Linked DNA regions of Tamandua tetradactyla. The main gene of each other region encodes a partner of the protein of the gene in region 2 in a complex. Links are inferred from orthologs where the notes say so. Each region holds a gene or a part of one and is shown on either strand. Other genes may lie near its edges.

The links. Proteins that work in one complex are often made in the same cells at the same time.
Region 1: the proteins of GRB14 (region 2) and INSR are in contact, whole or in part, in a crystal structure (PDB 2AUH), measured with the Homo sapiens proteins. The link is inferred for Tamandua tetradactyla from reciprocal best matches to the Homo sapiens genes GRB14 and INSR. Residues at the interface, in NP_004481.2 of Homo sapiens: Glu373, Asn374, Ser375, Leu376, Val377, Ala378, Met379, Asp380, Phe381, Ser382, Ser386, Val388, Ile389, Glu394, Val398, Ala399, Glu401, Glu402, Gly403, Leu404, Trp406, Arg407; in NP_000199.2 of Homo sapiens: Leu1065, Arg1066, Ile1069, Glu1070, Lys1112, Arg1116, Arg1163, Met1180, Arg1182, Tyr1190, Lys1192, Gly1193, Gly1194, Lys1195, Gly1196, Leu1197, Leu1198, Pro1199, Val1200, Trp1202, Ser1207, Leu1208, Lys1209, Asp1210, Gly1211, Gln1235, Asn1242, Glu1243, Leu1246.

What each region holds. Positions count from the first base shown.
Region 1 is NC_135337.1:83,573,356-83,580,740, reverse strand, and holds the start of INSR (insulin receptor), read left to right. Parts: upstream 1-4,378; 5' UTR 4,379-4,404; coding exon 4,405-4,504; intron 4,505-7,385. UniProt on the Homo sapiens protein: Receptor tyrosine kinase which mediates the pleiotropic actions of insulin.
Region 2 is NC_135329.1:135,773,232-135,780,190, forward strand, and holds the start of GRB14 (growth factor receptor-bound protein 14), read right to left. Parts: upstream 3,002-6,959; 5' UTR 2,894-3,001; coding exon 2,703-2,893; intron 1,410-2,702; coding exon 1,277-1,409; intron 1-1,276. UniProt on the Homo sapiens protein: Adapter protein which modulates coupling of cell surface receptor kinases with specific signaling pathways. Binds to, and suppresses signals from, the activated insulin receptor (INSR). Potent inhibitor of insulin-stimulated MAPK3 phosphorylation.

The DNA of each region.
Region 1 (7,385 bases), on a different chromosome or scaffold from region 2:
GATTCAATATTAAGGAATCTTTCACTTAAGTGACTTAGATTATCTCACTTTTAAAAAAATGTCTGACTTTATATAGGTTTTTTTTTTTTTTTTTACTATTCACCTAATTTTAATTGTTATATAGCCAAACATATCATTTCAAAATTCTAAATTTGGGATCTGTCTCTTGCTCAGAGAGTAATATTCCCCACTCTGAATATTACAGAATACATTTTCCATATTATAGACTCTTATGGTTTCATAGTTGAGTGGCTTTGGAATTCAACAGATACATTTTTAGTATCTTGGAAATGTTGATGTGGCTCTTTTCCATCATCTATTAATACAGTGAACTCTATGAATAGATTTCCTAATTTTGAATCATCTCTGCAGTCCCGGTCTGAGTTCTCAAATCTGGTATTGGCATTGAGTTCTTTGAAGCTTCTGTCTTGTTCTATTGGTCAATTCTGGGGTATTGCACTGTCGCTTACAAATGAGATCAGATCTTTGTTGTCTTTTCTTTTTCCTCTCCTAAATGTAATGGAGTTAAGCAGGTTTCCATATCAACATAAGGGTGAGTGTTTGCATTTATTTTCCCGCTTTAATGAAAAGGAAAACAGCTCCATTGAGGGAGATGGTGCCAAGGGGTCTTGCTAAAGCAAGACCCCAGCAGTGTGGCAGTAGATTTCCCCAACTACTCCTTGAGGGGCAATATGAGTGCAATATCTGAGCACAAAGTTTGTAGGTGTCAGATCTGGCGCCTTTGTGAAATGGTCTCTCTCTTCTTGGAGCATTCAGAGTACAGTGTGTGGAAGTGCTGAAACTGAAGCAAACCTAACAAAAACAAAGTAAAACAACAACTAAAAAAAACCTCCAACGGTTTCCAAAACTCTTTTCCTTTATTTCAACACAGTCAGACTCCCAGAAAAATTGCAAGAATGGTACACTGAATTCCTGAGTGCTCGCTTTATTAGCTACACCAATTGGATCACCTCTGCTTTGTTTTCTCTCTTTTTCTTTTTCTGAACCATCTGAGTGTCAAGTTTCAGACATTATGTTCCTTCACGTGTGCTACATAGTTCAGCATCTACTTCTATAACTGAGGACATTTTCTTACATCACTTTAGCATAATGAGGAAATTAACATTCAAACAATCCTGTTCACCAATTGGCAGATTTTTTTCAGTCTTCTGCAATTGTCCAAATTATCTTTCACTGCAAAGGAAACCCAGGATCAACTTTGATCACTTGATGAATGTAGCATCTCCTAGGTTTCTCCACTGTGAAGTGACAATTTTCTCCTTCCCTTTGTTATTGACAAGTACCTTGAGAGTGATGTAAACATCCCGTTCCCCTCAAAGTTTTCCTCATTAGTTTCAAGCATCCACTGAGGGGTATTGCATGAATCAATGAATATACACATTGCTAAAGGTGATTTTCTACTTCTACAGCCATGGTTTTAATAAAGGCAGAAGATGGTCTTGAAGTTCCAATTTTTAGATGCTTTCATTTTTGCAAAAGAAACAATGAGTGGTTGGGGGGAGTGATGATGTCTTAATTTTCTCCCAGCAAGTCACAGCTGAAATGATTCTTTTGATTTTATTTCCAGCATGGAAGTCCTGCATCAATCTTTCGGGCTTTTTTAGTACATGCTACCCGGCCAGAATTGTGGCAGTCTTTGGGTTTCCTGTGGGAGCAGATTTGCACAAGGAAAGAAGGGGACTGGTATTGAGGCAGCCTACAATTCTTGATACCTGGTCTGCAGCTGCCTCCTCCATGTTCTCCCTGGGTCCACTCTTGCCCCAGTGAAGACAATGAGATATTATTGGAAAGAAAATTTGATTATGTCAACCTTATGTGTAAAACCGTCCCCAAGGGGGTGAAATGTAACACACTCTTTACATGGCATATATGAAGTTTTGTCCCTTCTAGTACCTGCCTACCATTCCAGCATCTTCTCTTCCCTTTCTGTGCTCCAGCTATAGTGCTTGGCTTATTTGCTAGACTGTCTGCTCTGTCTCCACTGGGCACTTGCACATGCTGTTCCCTGTGCCCAAAACACTTTTCCAGGTAGCAAATGATTGGCTTTTCTCATCACTTTTGGCTGGCTCCTTCTCATCTGCAGATTTCAGCTGAAATATCACTTTCTCATGGAATCTTTCTCTGAGTGAAGACTCCCCACTCCCACGAAAACGCATAATTGTTTAATTAATGCTCTCTTACTAAACTGTGAGGTCTACAAGGAAATGGACTATAATTTTGTTCACTGGCAATCCCGCTTACTTATTATTTGTTGATTCTTCCTTTCAAGAAATATTGATTAGGCGGGCCGCGGTGGCTCAGCGGGCAAAGTGCTTGCCTGCTATGCCGGAGGACCTCGGTTCGATTCCCGGCCCCAGCCCATGTAACAAAAACGGAGAAACAGAATACAATAAAACAAGAAAATGTTTAAAAGATGTTTCCCTTCCTTCCTTCCTTCCTTCCTTCTATCCTTCCCTCCTTCTCTCTGTCTTTCCTTTAAAAAAAAAAAAAAAAAAAAAAAAAAAAAAAAGAAATATTGATTAATCAACAGATATGTCGGGCACTAGGGGTGGAGGTGGCAGTAAAAAAAAAAAAAAAAAATGGCGGGGGGAGAAGATATACCAAACAATAAATAAGAATGCCAGGTAGAGATAACCAGCCATGAAAATAACAGGGGAAGGGAACAGAGAGATGAGGGTGAAGGGAGCATTTGCAGCGCGTAGTCAGGGCATGCTCTCTGGAGCAGAGATGTGGAGCACCTGGGAAAGCGTTATAGAAGAAGCAGCCTGGCAAGGAGATGTGACGTTGGCATTTGGGAATAACTGTGGGCCCAGCCATTGACAAATTAATATTTGTTTAATAAACGACGGGAAGAATGAATGTCCTGGGCCTAGGGTTGGGCTGGGTGCTTCCCCTTGTGTCTCGGCTAACTTGGCATGCAGGTATCCACAAACCCATCATACCAGACCCAGAGATTGTCCCCCGTCCGAGGTCTCCCATTGCATGAAGGGGTGAGCCGGATTCCCAGTCTGCTTGGGCTTTCCTATCTGCAAGCCGACCTCCCTCTCCTTCAGGAGGGTGGGTTGGCCATTGCCTTGTCCCCTCGGTGAAAAACCTTGCGAAACACTCAGATACACATGGACTTCGGGTCTGCATGTTGAAAATTGGGGGTGTCCACCTGCGTCCTTGTCTGGGGCCTTTAGGCACCCGGACTGTTGTGTTAGGAGCCTACACACATTGTCCCAGGTGTCATTTGTCCAACTTGAGTCATAGGTGTCCAACTTGAGCCAGAGGCCGCGCCGAGGCGCAGGGGACACGGAGTACGCGGAGCGCACGGGGCGCGCAGGCACGTGGCCGTCCCCTGGGGCCTGCCGGGGCATCCGCCGCGGGGCAGGGGGGCGCGCGAGGCCTGCAGTCCCGAGCGCCCTACTGCGCAGGTTGCAGGAGCCGGGGGTGGATTTGGGGCACACGAGCGCGCAGGGACAAGCGTCGCGCGGGCGGGCGCAACGAGGGAGGTGCTCGCTTGGGCTGCACAATTTAAGGGAGTGACCAAAACAAAAAACAAAAACGAGTAACAGAGACAAATGGGATTTAATGCACTGCTGAAAAAACCAAAAAAAAAAAAAAAAAAAAAATCCACGCTTTTAAAGAAAGACAGCATCCGAGGGGCACCTCCCCCCCGCTCCCCTTCCTGCCCACACTTTGTCCCTGGAATCTCTGGGCCGTGGGGGGCGCCGAGGCTGGAGCAGGGTGCGGGGGGTGGGTCAGGGCGCCCTCTCGGTTGGGGCGCGCCCGGGCCCTGCCGCGCGGGGCCCCGAAGAGGGCGGGCTGCCGGGGGCGGGCCAGGGCGGGGCGGGCCGGGCCCTCCCCCTTCGCGGCCTCCGCCCCCCTCTCCCGGGCGCCCCGTCCCTTCCGCGGCCGGATCCGCGCCGCCTTTTCCCGCGGCCCGCACGGGGCCCAGCTGACGGCCGCGTTGTTTACGGGCCCCGAGCAGCCCTCGCTCCCGCCGTCCGCCAGCCCAGGTGCCCGCCCGCGCGTCCCTCTGTCCGTCCGCGCGTCCGCCGACGGCGGGGCCCAGAACGCTCTTGGCCGAAGGTGCCGCGTGGAAGTCCGCGCCCCGAGAACCCCCCAGCCCCACCCCGAGCGCGGGGCCGGGACCCGAGTGGCCTGGAGGGCGGGGAGCCGGGGCGCCTGGTCTTCGGAGCGGCCGAGGCCCGCGCTCGCCCCTCCCGGGGCGGTTTCCAGGGCCCTCCCGGGGCGGGTGCCGCTGCCCGCGGGCCGCCGGCGTGGGAGAGAAGGACGCGCGGGCCCCGGCGCCTCCCGGGCGGGCCGTCTCGGAGCATGCACCCCGCGGGCCGGCGCCGCGCGCTCTGAACCGCAGCAGGACCCCGCGCTCCCGCGGCGATGGGCGCAGGGGCCGGGCGGGGATCGGCGGGCGCGCCGCTGCTGCTGGCCGTGGCCGCGCTGCTGCTGGGCGCCGCGGGCCACCTGTATCCCGGAGACGGTGAGTCTGGGGGCGCCGGGGCGGGCGGAGGGGCCCTCACCGCCCCCAAAGGAGCCGCCCCCGCGGGGCACCGGGTGTCCCCGGGGGCGGGGGACGCGCGGGTGGCCCGGACGGCCCCGCGGGGGGCTGGAGGCCGCTGACCTTGGCCTTCGCCCGCCTGGGCTCGCGGCCCCGCGCCCCGCTGTTGCGAGCCCTGCTGGGGAGGCACCTTCCCCCAGTGCCCGCCCCGCCGTGGGCGCCTCTCCCCAGCGCACACCTCGGACCCGAGCCTGGCCCCCCTGCTTGCCCAAGGCGCCCGGGAGGCTGGACGCGCCGCGTCTTCGGGTGGCCCCGACCCCTCGGGGTCACAGGGTTTGGGCGGCCTCGGACGGCCGAGTGTTTTGAGTTTGGAGCCAAATCCCGGGGTGCCGGGCCGGGAGGTCCCTTGGGGTCCCCGCTGGTGGGTGTCACTGCCCGAGGCGGGGGTGGGGGAATTAATTGGAGGACTTTCCCTTTCTCACTTCCTAGAGTCTGGGCCGGTGGCTACATTTTACAGGTCCCTAGTTACACTTTTGGGTTCTAGTTACACTCCTTCCAGATGTGAGGAGGCAAATTCTAAGAACCGGCTGCAGTTGCAACAGGAGTAGTGGCAGTTTTTATCAAGATTCTTCTAATTAGTATCACCCTATGCCACGGGCTGGCCCATCTTATCTCTCTGGACCCTCACGGTGGCCCCTGGAGACTGATAACTGTTGTTCTCAGAGTAGGAACCTGGGCTGGGACTCGAACCCCTCTCTGCCAGCTTCCCTCCCAAGGCTGGGGACTCTTTCCCCACCACCCATGTCTCCCCCAACTCCTCCCGCCCCCAGATCTACCCCTCATAAAGGGCTCTCTACCTGCAGTCTTTTTTGGGGGGGAGGGAAATCTCTGGCCTTGGGTGAGCCTCTCACACCCCCCTCCAGGTGTCCCTATGCCTGGAGCAGACAGAAGCAACCCCAGCCCCAGTATCCTTCTCATGCCTGATATTGTCTACTTTTTGAGACTGGGACTGAAGAATCATTTGAGGACATAAATCTAATTTCCCACCATGGGGTCTGAAGCCCTGCTTTAAAAATATCTGAGGTTGCTTCAGATTTTTCCATAAAAGGAAATTGATCATGGATGAAGAAGGGGTCTGGGAGGGAAGGAACAGAAGAATCTCCTAAGTGTACTCGGTGTTGAATGAGGTGGATGAGAAAGCATAGGCTTTGGAGTTGGCCAACCAGGTTTGTTGAGCAGCTCTGCCACTTAATGTCTGGGAGTCCCCAAAGGTCAGGGATGCAGTAGGTGCTCAGTGAAGGGTGGCAGTTGGTTTGAGTTCTTGGTACGAAAAATCCAAGATGAGTTGTTAAACCCATGCCAGGCTTCTCGCGGGCATGCATAATGTGCACAGCCTGCATATGTGTGGTTCCCTACTCTTCTGTTCCTTGCAGTTGTTCTGTGCCTTGGGCTTCCAGGGGTCAGCTGCTTATGTATTTACAGCTTCCATGGGGATCCACTGGGGCAGGGGCTTTTGTCTGTTTCATCTGTGCCCGGCGCGTGGTAGATGTTCAGTAAATATTTATTCCTCAGTGGGACTAGGCACAGTGCGAAGCTCCTTTGTAGTTGGGTTGAGGAGCTCCTTCTCCTCCTGGTTATACTAACTACCAGTTCTAAGAGTAAGCACATGCAAGGCACAGTGCTCCATGCTTTGCATGTATAATCTCAGTCAATTCTCACTGCTGCTGGTGAGGTAAGGTTTTTCATTCCCTTGTGGGGATGATTTGCTGAGAACCACTGAAAAAGCAAGTGGCAGAGCCACGATTAGAACTCAGACTGGTCCGGCCCCAGGGCATGGGTTTCTTAACTAACGGCTGTTCTTTCCTTAACTAGTTCCTGTTGTGGGTCCAAGCCTCCCCCACTTCTGCCCTGGGATAATGTTGAACAAAACATTATTCTTTCAAATAAACGAGAGCTGAACCCCCTTGAAAGCTTGGGTGGGTGAGGGGGGGGGGCAAGAAACTTTCCAGAGCATTAATTTCTAAAGTCGGCCAAGATGACATTTTGACTGGGGTGGGGCAGATCACCCAATCTAATGTGATTTTTAAGGAAGGAAGGACTCTTTCTCAGAGGTGTCAGTGGAACTGCAGCGCCCCAGGTTTTCCGAGGAGTTGTTGCTGCACTGAGCTGGGTGGTGGCTTTTTTTCCGCTATTGCCATTTGGATTGGATGGTTCTAACCAAGATTACTTGCCAGCATTGCAGGAAGAGAATTAAGAATTAAGAAGTCTTAACTAAGAGAATTAAGATTTAAGAGAATTAAGGTGCCATGGTATTGATTAAAGTGAAAACCTTCAGAGCTTTCCATAGTAATCGAGGTGTGAGACGCTTGTTTCTCAGATACTCCTCACTTCTCAGCTACTCTGTAATGAGGGACCGTCATGAGCTGCTTCTCTTGGGTGTTTGGTAGTGAAAGATGTTCCGGGACATCCCCTGCACCCTTGGAGTGGTTATTCCAGATCTTTGCTTCACTCCTGGAGACCTTCCACTGTCTCCTGCCCCACTCACTCATAGAGACCATGGGGACGCTTCCTAAGGTCCCTGTGTTGATTTCCATGTCCTCTTCAGTTGGAGTAGGATTTCTCAGCCTAATATTCTTGACATTTAGGACCAGATAATTCTTAGTCGTGGGGTGGGTGGCAGAGGGGGCTGTCCAGTGCATTGTAGGGTGTGGACCAGCCTCCCTGGCCTCTATCCATTAGATGCCAGCAGCACCAACGCCTATCCCCAGCCTTTACAATAAAAAATGTCTCCAAACATTGCCAGATGTCCTCCCGAGGGGTGGAAGGCAAAATTGTCCCAAGTCAAGAGCCCCCCTGCATTAGA
Region 2 (6,959 bases):
CTCCCCCCATCCATCCTCCTATGCAAAGTCTTAGTCCTGCTCATTTCAGGACTTGCCTCCCATGGCAGACCCTGACTGAGAGCACACCTGTTCCTAGAATATTTATTACCACTTTCCCAATCTTATCCAAAACACGCAGACCAATTCGACTACAATCTCCCCTGAAAAGTATATATGCCTTGCCATACTAGACTGACATTCCATGGAAAGCTTCCTATTGCCTCTATCATTGCCAAATGTTATGAAGAATTCATCTTTTCCATGGGGCATTTCTGCCATTCTTAAAAAAATAATCACACATTCTTTAATCCATCTCAGAAAAAGTCGTAAAGTTACAGAAAAAAGAAAGAACAGTAGATGGGGAGAAATGATCAACTATCTTGCTCATCTGTGTTCATTATCCCCTCCTCACTGCAAGTATCTGACTGTTTATTGCTTCAACTCTTGCAAGAATAAAGTGAAGCCTCTCTGTGTTTTACTGGTTTAAAACCAGGGGCAGGTGGCGGGGGGAGGCTGGGGAGTGGGGGTGGGCTATACTGAGAAAAGCTGGATCATTCTAGCATACCCTGATTTTTTTGCTCTCAAAATACATAAACATGATGGATCTCCCCATAGTCGCGTGATCCTCATTTCTTTGAAATCTCTGTTGCTTACGTCAGTCCCAAACTAGAAACTTGAAAAGAAAGTAAATCACAAAAATAAAGTCCATCTTCTAATCATCACTTAGAAGTCATCTGCCTTCTGCAGCCAGACGCCTCCAAATTGAATAATTCACTGAAATAAAGACATGTCCATTCCGAAATTTCAGCTGTCTTTTGTCAGACTCACTATATCATTTTCCTTTAGTAAATAAGGTTGGCTTGGGTTGAGAATATGAAAGATTAAAGAAAGTATTGAAGAATCAACCAATTCCCTTCTCATTCCACTACCAGTGTCCACCCTTCCAATTCCTGACTTAACATTGATAATCTATTAGAACATATAATTCTCCCACCTAACCTGTGAAGAACAGCTCCACGCACCCTACTTAACAGATATTCACTCTTTTAACCCATCTCAAAACTCTAAGAGGTAACTTCTAACATTTCTATCATACAGATAAAAAAACTGAGGCCCGAAAAAGAAAATAATGCCAAAGAACTATATCAGTCAACAGAGAGATTTAACATAAACCATGTTAATTTTTTGTGATTATTTTAAGTTACTGAATATCATGAAAACTGTATGCTCTTTAGAACTCCAAAGATTTTGAATCAGAAAATTTAAAAATGCATACCTGTTTTTTCATTGAATTTGCTTTGTGAAACAGGCCTGCTGATAATACAGACGTAAATGGAGAACAGCACAGCTCAGGAAAAGGGTTTGGAATAGATGGCATTTCCAGAACATCAAGATCTTTCTTTTTTCTCCTACACCAACAGAACATAGGATGTAATTTACATAAAACAGAATGTAAAATATAATTGCTGTCAGGATTAAAAATGTGTTAAGGACAACATGTACAGCTCTATGACAACACCAATATTATGTAAAGTATACAAAAAAGATCCCTGATGTACCTTCTGTGGGTCAAATTAAAATGCCAATTACTACAAAAAAATCATCCACAGCATTCCTAATTTTTCTGTGAGGGATTTAAAAAAAAATCACTAGACATGGAAACCCCATTTCTAGCACTTTTCATAATCTTCCTGAAGTACAAATGTAGAATATACCATTATTAATGCAAAAATTATCCTGAGTAGTTAGAAATTGTTATGCATCCACGAAATTGGCAAAATCAATGTTACATTCAGTTAATTCATACCTGTGATATTTTGCTACACTTTAGGAGGCTATAACTTATTAATTATAGCTGTGGTTCATCTCACTTCAAATTTCATTCACAATGTTGCCCACACACAGTCTGTTGATTTTTCAAGTGCTTATAGATAATAAGCAGCAAGGCAGTGTTTTTGAAGAGGTAAGTCAATAGAACTTGCTAGTATAAATGTACTCTAGTCCACTGGAGAGTAATTTTAACTTCATTGAAGTTGCAGCACTTTCAAATCGGAGGGTAGGGTGGGGGTTGAGGGGGAGGGAATTGCACCATTTAAACGTATGAATAAAAAGGACCATAGAATTTTGGGTTTTTGCAGTCTTTTTCTTTCCTAAAGTAGGTGCAAAACTATGAACTCTAAAGGCACTTAATGCTGACTGCTGTGGAGACTGGGAAACCTTTTAAAGCCTCTATTCTTTCTTCAGGAACAGCAAGCCTGCTCAAATGTCAATTCAGTGCTTTGCTTCTCCTGGGTCGCTGAAAGACTCTATGTGGGAGGTGAACTCATTATGCTACGATTCTTAAATACATATATAAAATTTTAAAAACTGTTTATTAAAAAAAAAAAAACAAAAAACCTAGGGCCACGAAGGAAGGCCGGGGGTGGAGGTCAACCTGGAGCTTGTCCTTCTAGTTGACACGGATGGGCATACACGAAGAGACCAAGAGCTCTCAATGAAACGGTGATGCTATTTATAAGGCGCCGTGAGATCGCAATGTCCTGCCGATCTGGTAGGAGCCAGCTCAAAGGGAATTGTCTTCTGAGACTTTCACAAACTTGGCCCAGCTCTGGGCACATGGCTCACCCTCTAGGACCGCCTCCTCACCCCTTCGCCGGCTGCCAACCCAGGACACTCCCCCGCGCCCTCCGAGGGCTGCCTACCTGTCCATAGCACAGCCACGGGTGGCGTCCGGAGGGGGCAGGAGCGCCCGCGCGTGCACCCAGGGGGCCGGCGCCAGGTCGCGGGCGTCGCCCCTCCCCTGGGCAGTGCCGCACACCTGGGCGGCCAGCGGCGAGTCCCCGGCTGCCGCCCTGCTCGCGGCGCTGTGCCCATCTTGCAGAGAAGTGGTCATTATCGCCGGCCGGGGGGCTCGGGCGTCATGGGAGACCCGGCGCGGGGGGAGAGAGGCTCGGGCGGCGGGAGGCGAGGAGCCGCTCAGGCAGCCGGAGCGCTCTGCAGGTGCGGTGGCCTCGCCGCCTGCGCTCGCGGCCCGGGCGGCTCAGGAGAGCGGCGGAGCAGCCAGCGAGGCGGCGGGGGAGGGGAGGGGGCGGAGGAGGAAGGTGGGGAGAGGGGAGGAGCGGCCGGTGGGTGGGGGCCGCGGCGGCGGGGCGAGGCGCCGAGGGGGCGGGGAGCGCGTGCGGTCGCCTGGTCGGCCCTGCGCGTGGCCCGAGGCGCGCGGCGGCGCTGGTGTGGGTTTCCCCTCGTCCGCTCTCCGGCCTCCAGCTGCCCGCGTCCGAGGCCCGGGCCGCCGCCGCCTCCCTAGGTGGGCGCTCGAGCGCGAGGCTGAGACCCGGTGGGGGCGGGCCCCGCGGCGCTGGAGGCAGGGAGCGGGCTGAGGCGGTGCTCCTGCCGGGCTTGCCTGGCGGACCGCAGGCGGGGCGGGGGTCTCGGCAGCGCAGACCCCCAGGCCCTTCCATTCCTCCTGCTCTCCTATTTGAGATCACCAAGGTGTCTCCGGGCCGCCATGACAGGCCTCACCGGGCCAGGGGGCCAGGTTTGCCCCCGTCCTTCCCCACGTGCCACCTCTTCTATTCGCACCGCGGCCGAAGATGGGGGCTGAGGGTCTGAGAGGAAGCAGGGAGTACATCGTTTTAGAAAACTACCGACAATTTGAAAATTTTGATTAAAGCGTGAGTAAACCTGAAGATGTCTTTGGAATTCGGAAGATTATCCATTTTCTTTTTAGTAAGGACTTTGTCCTTTTACATCCTCACAACGGCCCTCTAAATTTGATGTTTATACCATTTTACTGATAAGGAAACTGAGGCTCAAAGCCATCGAGGACTTTGCGCAACAAAGCTAGTAACTGGTACCGTCAAAATTCCAACCCAGAGACTTCCTTCTCAAAAACCTAGAAATTTGAAATTGTAATAAAATTATCCTCACCCTCTGAGAGACACTGAGTCCTACTCTGAAATCCAGGATAGTTTTGTTTCTCCTCTTCTCACAAGTGCCCCTATCCCAGTGTGTCGAAAGATTTCCAAATGTTTTACACACTCTTTGTTCTTTGACCAAATTAGGTAGCATCTGCCCCTGGCATCTGCTTCACCTCCACAACCTCTGCCCAGGGAAAGGCAAACACTGCCTCCCCAGAAATGTACAACTCCTTACCCCGACCCTATATCCTCCCGCCTTGGAACCTCCCGCCTTGGAACCTCCTGCCTTGGAACCATGAAGTGCTGACAACTAGGGATCACTAACTTCCACCCTGTGAAGAAACCTTGGAGTACTTGATGAGCACAGAAAATCTTTTAAGTCAAAGCATTTAATGAGCCCAAGTCCTTCATTTTCCTGACGGCAAAATTGATGCCCAGAAAAGGTCACATCTGGCCTGGGTAACATGGTAAGTGTGGTCTCCAGGAACTTTACCCAATGCAATGGCGCATCCAAGGCAAAAGAGTGGCAGGATGGCTCACCTAAGTGGTAAAAATAGTCATACTAATGAATGATAGCTAACATCTATTGACACTGGTGCCAGGCAAAGCCCTCACATCCCATCCCCTGAGTTATAGCCTGAATTATATGTGTGAGTTTTAAATGAATTTAATGTAAAAGCACACAGATAAACTGTCATTCCATAAAAATAAAAAGGAGCTACGTATTTGCAGATAACTGGAACTAAAGAAACAACAAAAAAAATAAACTTTATCACTATCATCATCATCATCATCCTTATTTTCATCCAGAAGTCTTCTGTAGGCAGTCATTTCTCCTCTCTAATTAAGATAGTTTTCCCTCCTGCCCCTCAACAACACTTTCGTCTTTCTCTGTCCCTCTCCCTCTCCCTCTCCCTGTCCCTCTTTCTCTCTCTCCCCCCCCCCCTTTCTCTCTCTCTCTCTCTCTCTCTCTCACACACACACACACACAACACAGCAGCTCTTTTTTTTGTTGTTGGAGAGAAGATAGGCAGAAACCCCGTATATCTCTGGAACCTGGAAACACCATGCCCCAATACTGTATCTTGCTCCAGTTTTCAGTATAATTTTTTGCCCCAATAAAAGAATATTCATTGCTAGGAATGAGATCTTAACTGGCCTCCCCTATCCAGGCATTCAAATTACTTCCTCCCAGTTAGGGAAGATCCAGGGAGTAGCCATTTGTAAACTTTATGCTCCTCCTCTAATCCTCACTGGTAAAAATTATAAATCCTGTAGTCAACAGAGGGGGGGCAAAGGAGGGAGGGAAATAGGTCTCTAAGGAACAAGAACATTAATAATTTTGATTTGGAAATTGGCATTAAATATTGAATTTACTCCCAGTAATACCTGGAGGATCTGAACCTAGTATTATTAGAATTAGCTCCTTCACATTTTTGAAGCAAGCCAACAAAATAACTAGTTTTCATATCCAAGAGGTTTTCAAGAAATGATTCTAGATTTTTAAAACTAATGCAGTAATAAAAGGTTCAGAATACTGCCAGAGTTTTCTATCAGAAGGGAAGTTAAAAAGGAGATTTCCCTTTTCATACCTGTCAAGGGTTTCTGAAGCTATGAGAGGGCAGATATCTTGGTAGCAAAGAGCAGATCCTCCTGTGAGTGGCTGCTGTCCTTTTTGAGTTGAGTCTGTGAAATAATAAAGGAAGTAGCTTGTCTCCTGGCCCTTCCCCCACACCATGGGCCTTTTGTGTCTCCTTGCACTCCCTCTTCTATTTCCTCCTCCAGAGATCCCAGCCTCCCCACCCTTCATGGAAAATGGGCTCTCCTTGCTTTCCTCTGCCTTTGCTCATCAAATCAAATTTCTTAATCAAATTTCAGGAAAGATAACACACGTACAGAAAAGCAGTTCACAAAAAAACCGTGAACAACAACTTTATCACAAGGCAAACACTGATGTCAGGTCATGAAGTAGAATATTGTCAGCCCTCCAGAAGCCCCTCCCTTGCTTCACCCCCAAACCAGATGGTCACAATAACTGATTCCTTGTTTTTATTTATAGCGGAACCATCTAAATATCTATGTGGAAATGCAATAGATTAGTTTGTCTCGTTTTGACTTTTATGTAGAGGAACTCTTGATTTGTGCTTGACTTGGTTCCCTTTACATCTTATTTGTAATATTCTTCTGTGCTCTTCCAGGTAGCTGTAGTTCTTTCATTCTTCTGTTGTATGTAAATACCACAGCCTGTCTGTTCTATAATAGGTAAATATCTTGATTGTTTCCCCCTTCTGACTATTATAAGTAATGCTGCAATGAACGTTCTTATACTATAAGTGATGCTGCAATGAGCATTCTTGTGTGCGTCTCTTGGTACACATATGCACATATTTTTGTCAGGTAGATACCTAGAATAGCAGTGTGAGGTCATGGTGTGTGTATGTTCAGCTTTACTAGATTCTGCCAGTTTCCCAAATTGATGGTACCAGTTTTCACTGCCAGCAGCGTTGCCCATGTCCCGCTTCTTCCCATTCTTGTCAGTTGGGATATTATCACAGTTTTCACATTAGACGTTCCGGTGAGGGTACGGTTATGTCTCACTGTGGACGTTGACTTCTGGTAACTAATGAAGCACTTTAATGTGGTTAGTTATCTACCGTTTGGACATCCTCTTTTGAAAGTACCAATTAAAGTCTCTTGCCCATTTTTTGAGAAGTTGTTCTTTTTCTCTCTTATTCATTTACATGAGTTTCTTTTGTATTCTGACACCTAACTCTTCATAGATTTTATATTTTTAAAGTTATCTCCTCCCATTCTGTGGCCTACTCTTTTGATATCGTAATGGTCTCATTTGATAAACAGAAGTTCTTCATTTTAATGTAGCTAAATTTGCCTATTTTTTATGATTATATTTTTTATATCCTGCTTAGAAGTCGTTCCCTATTTTTCCAGAAATCTGTTACTTTGCCTTTCATATTTAAGTCAGTGATCCACTTGGGATTGATTTTGTTTTGTTTGTTTTATACTTATGGTGTGAAATAGAGG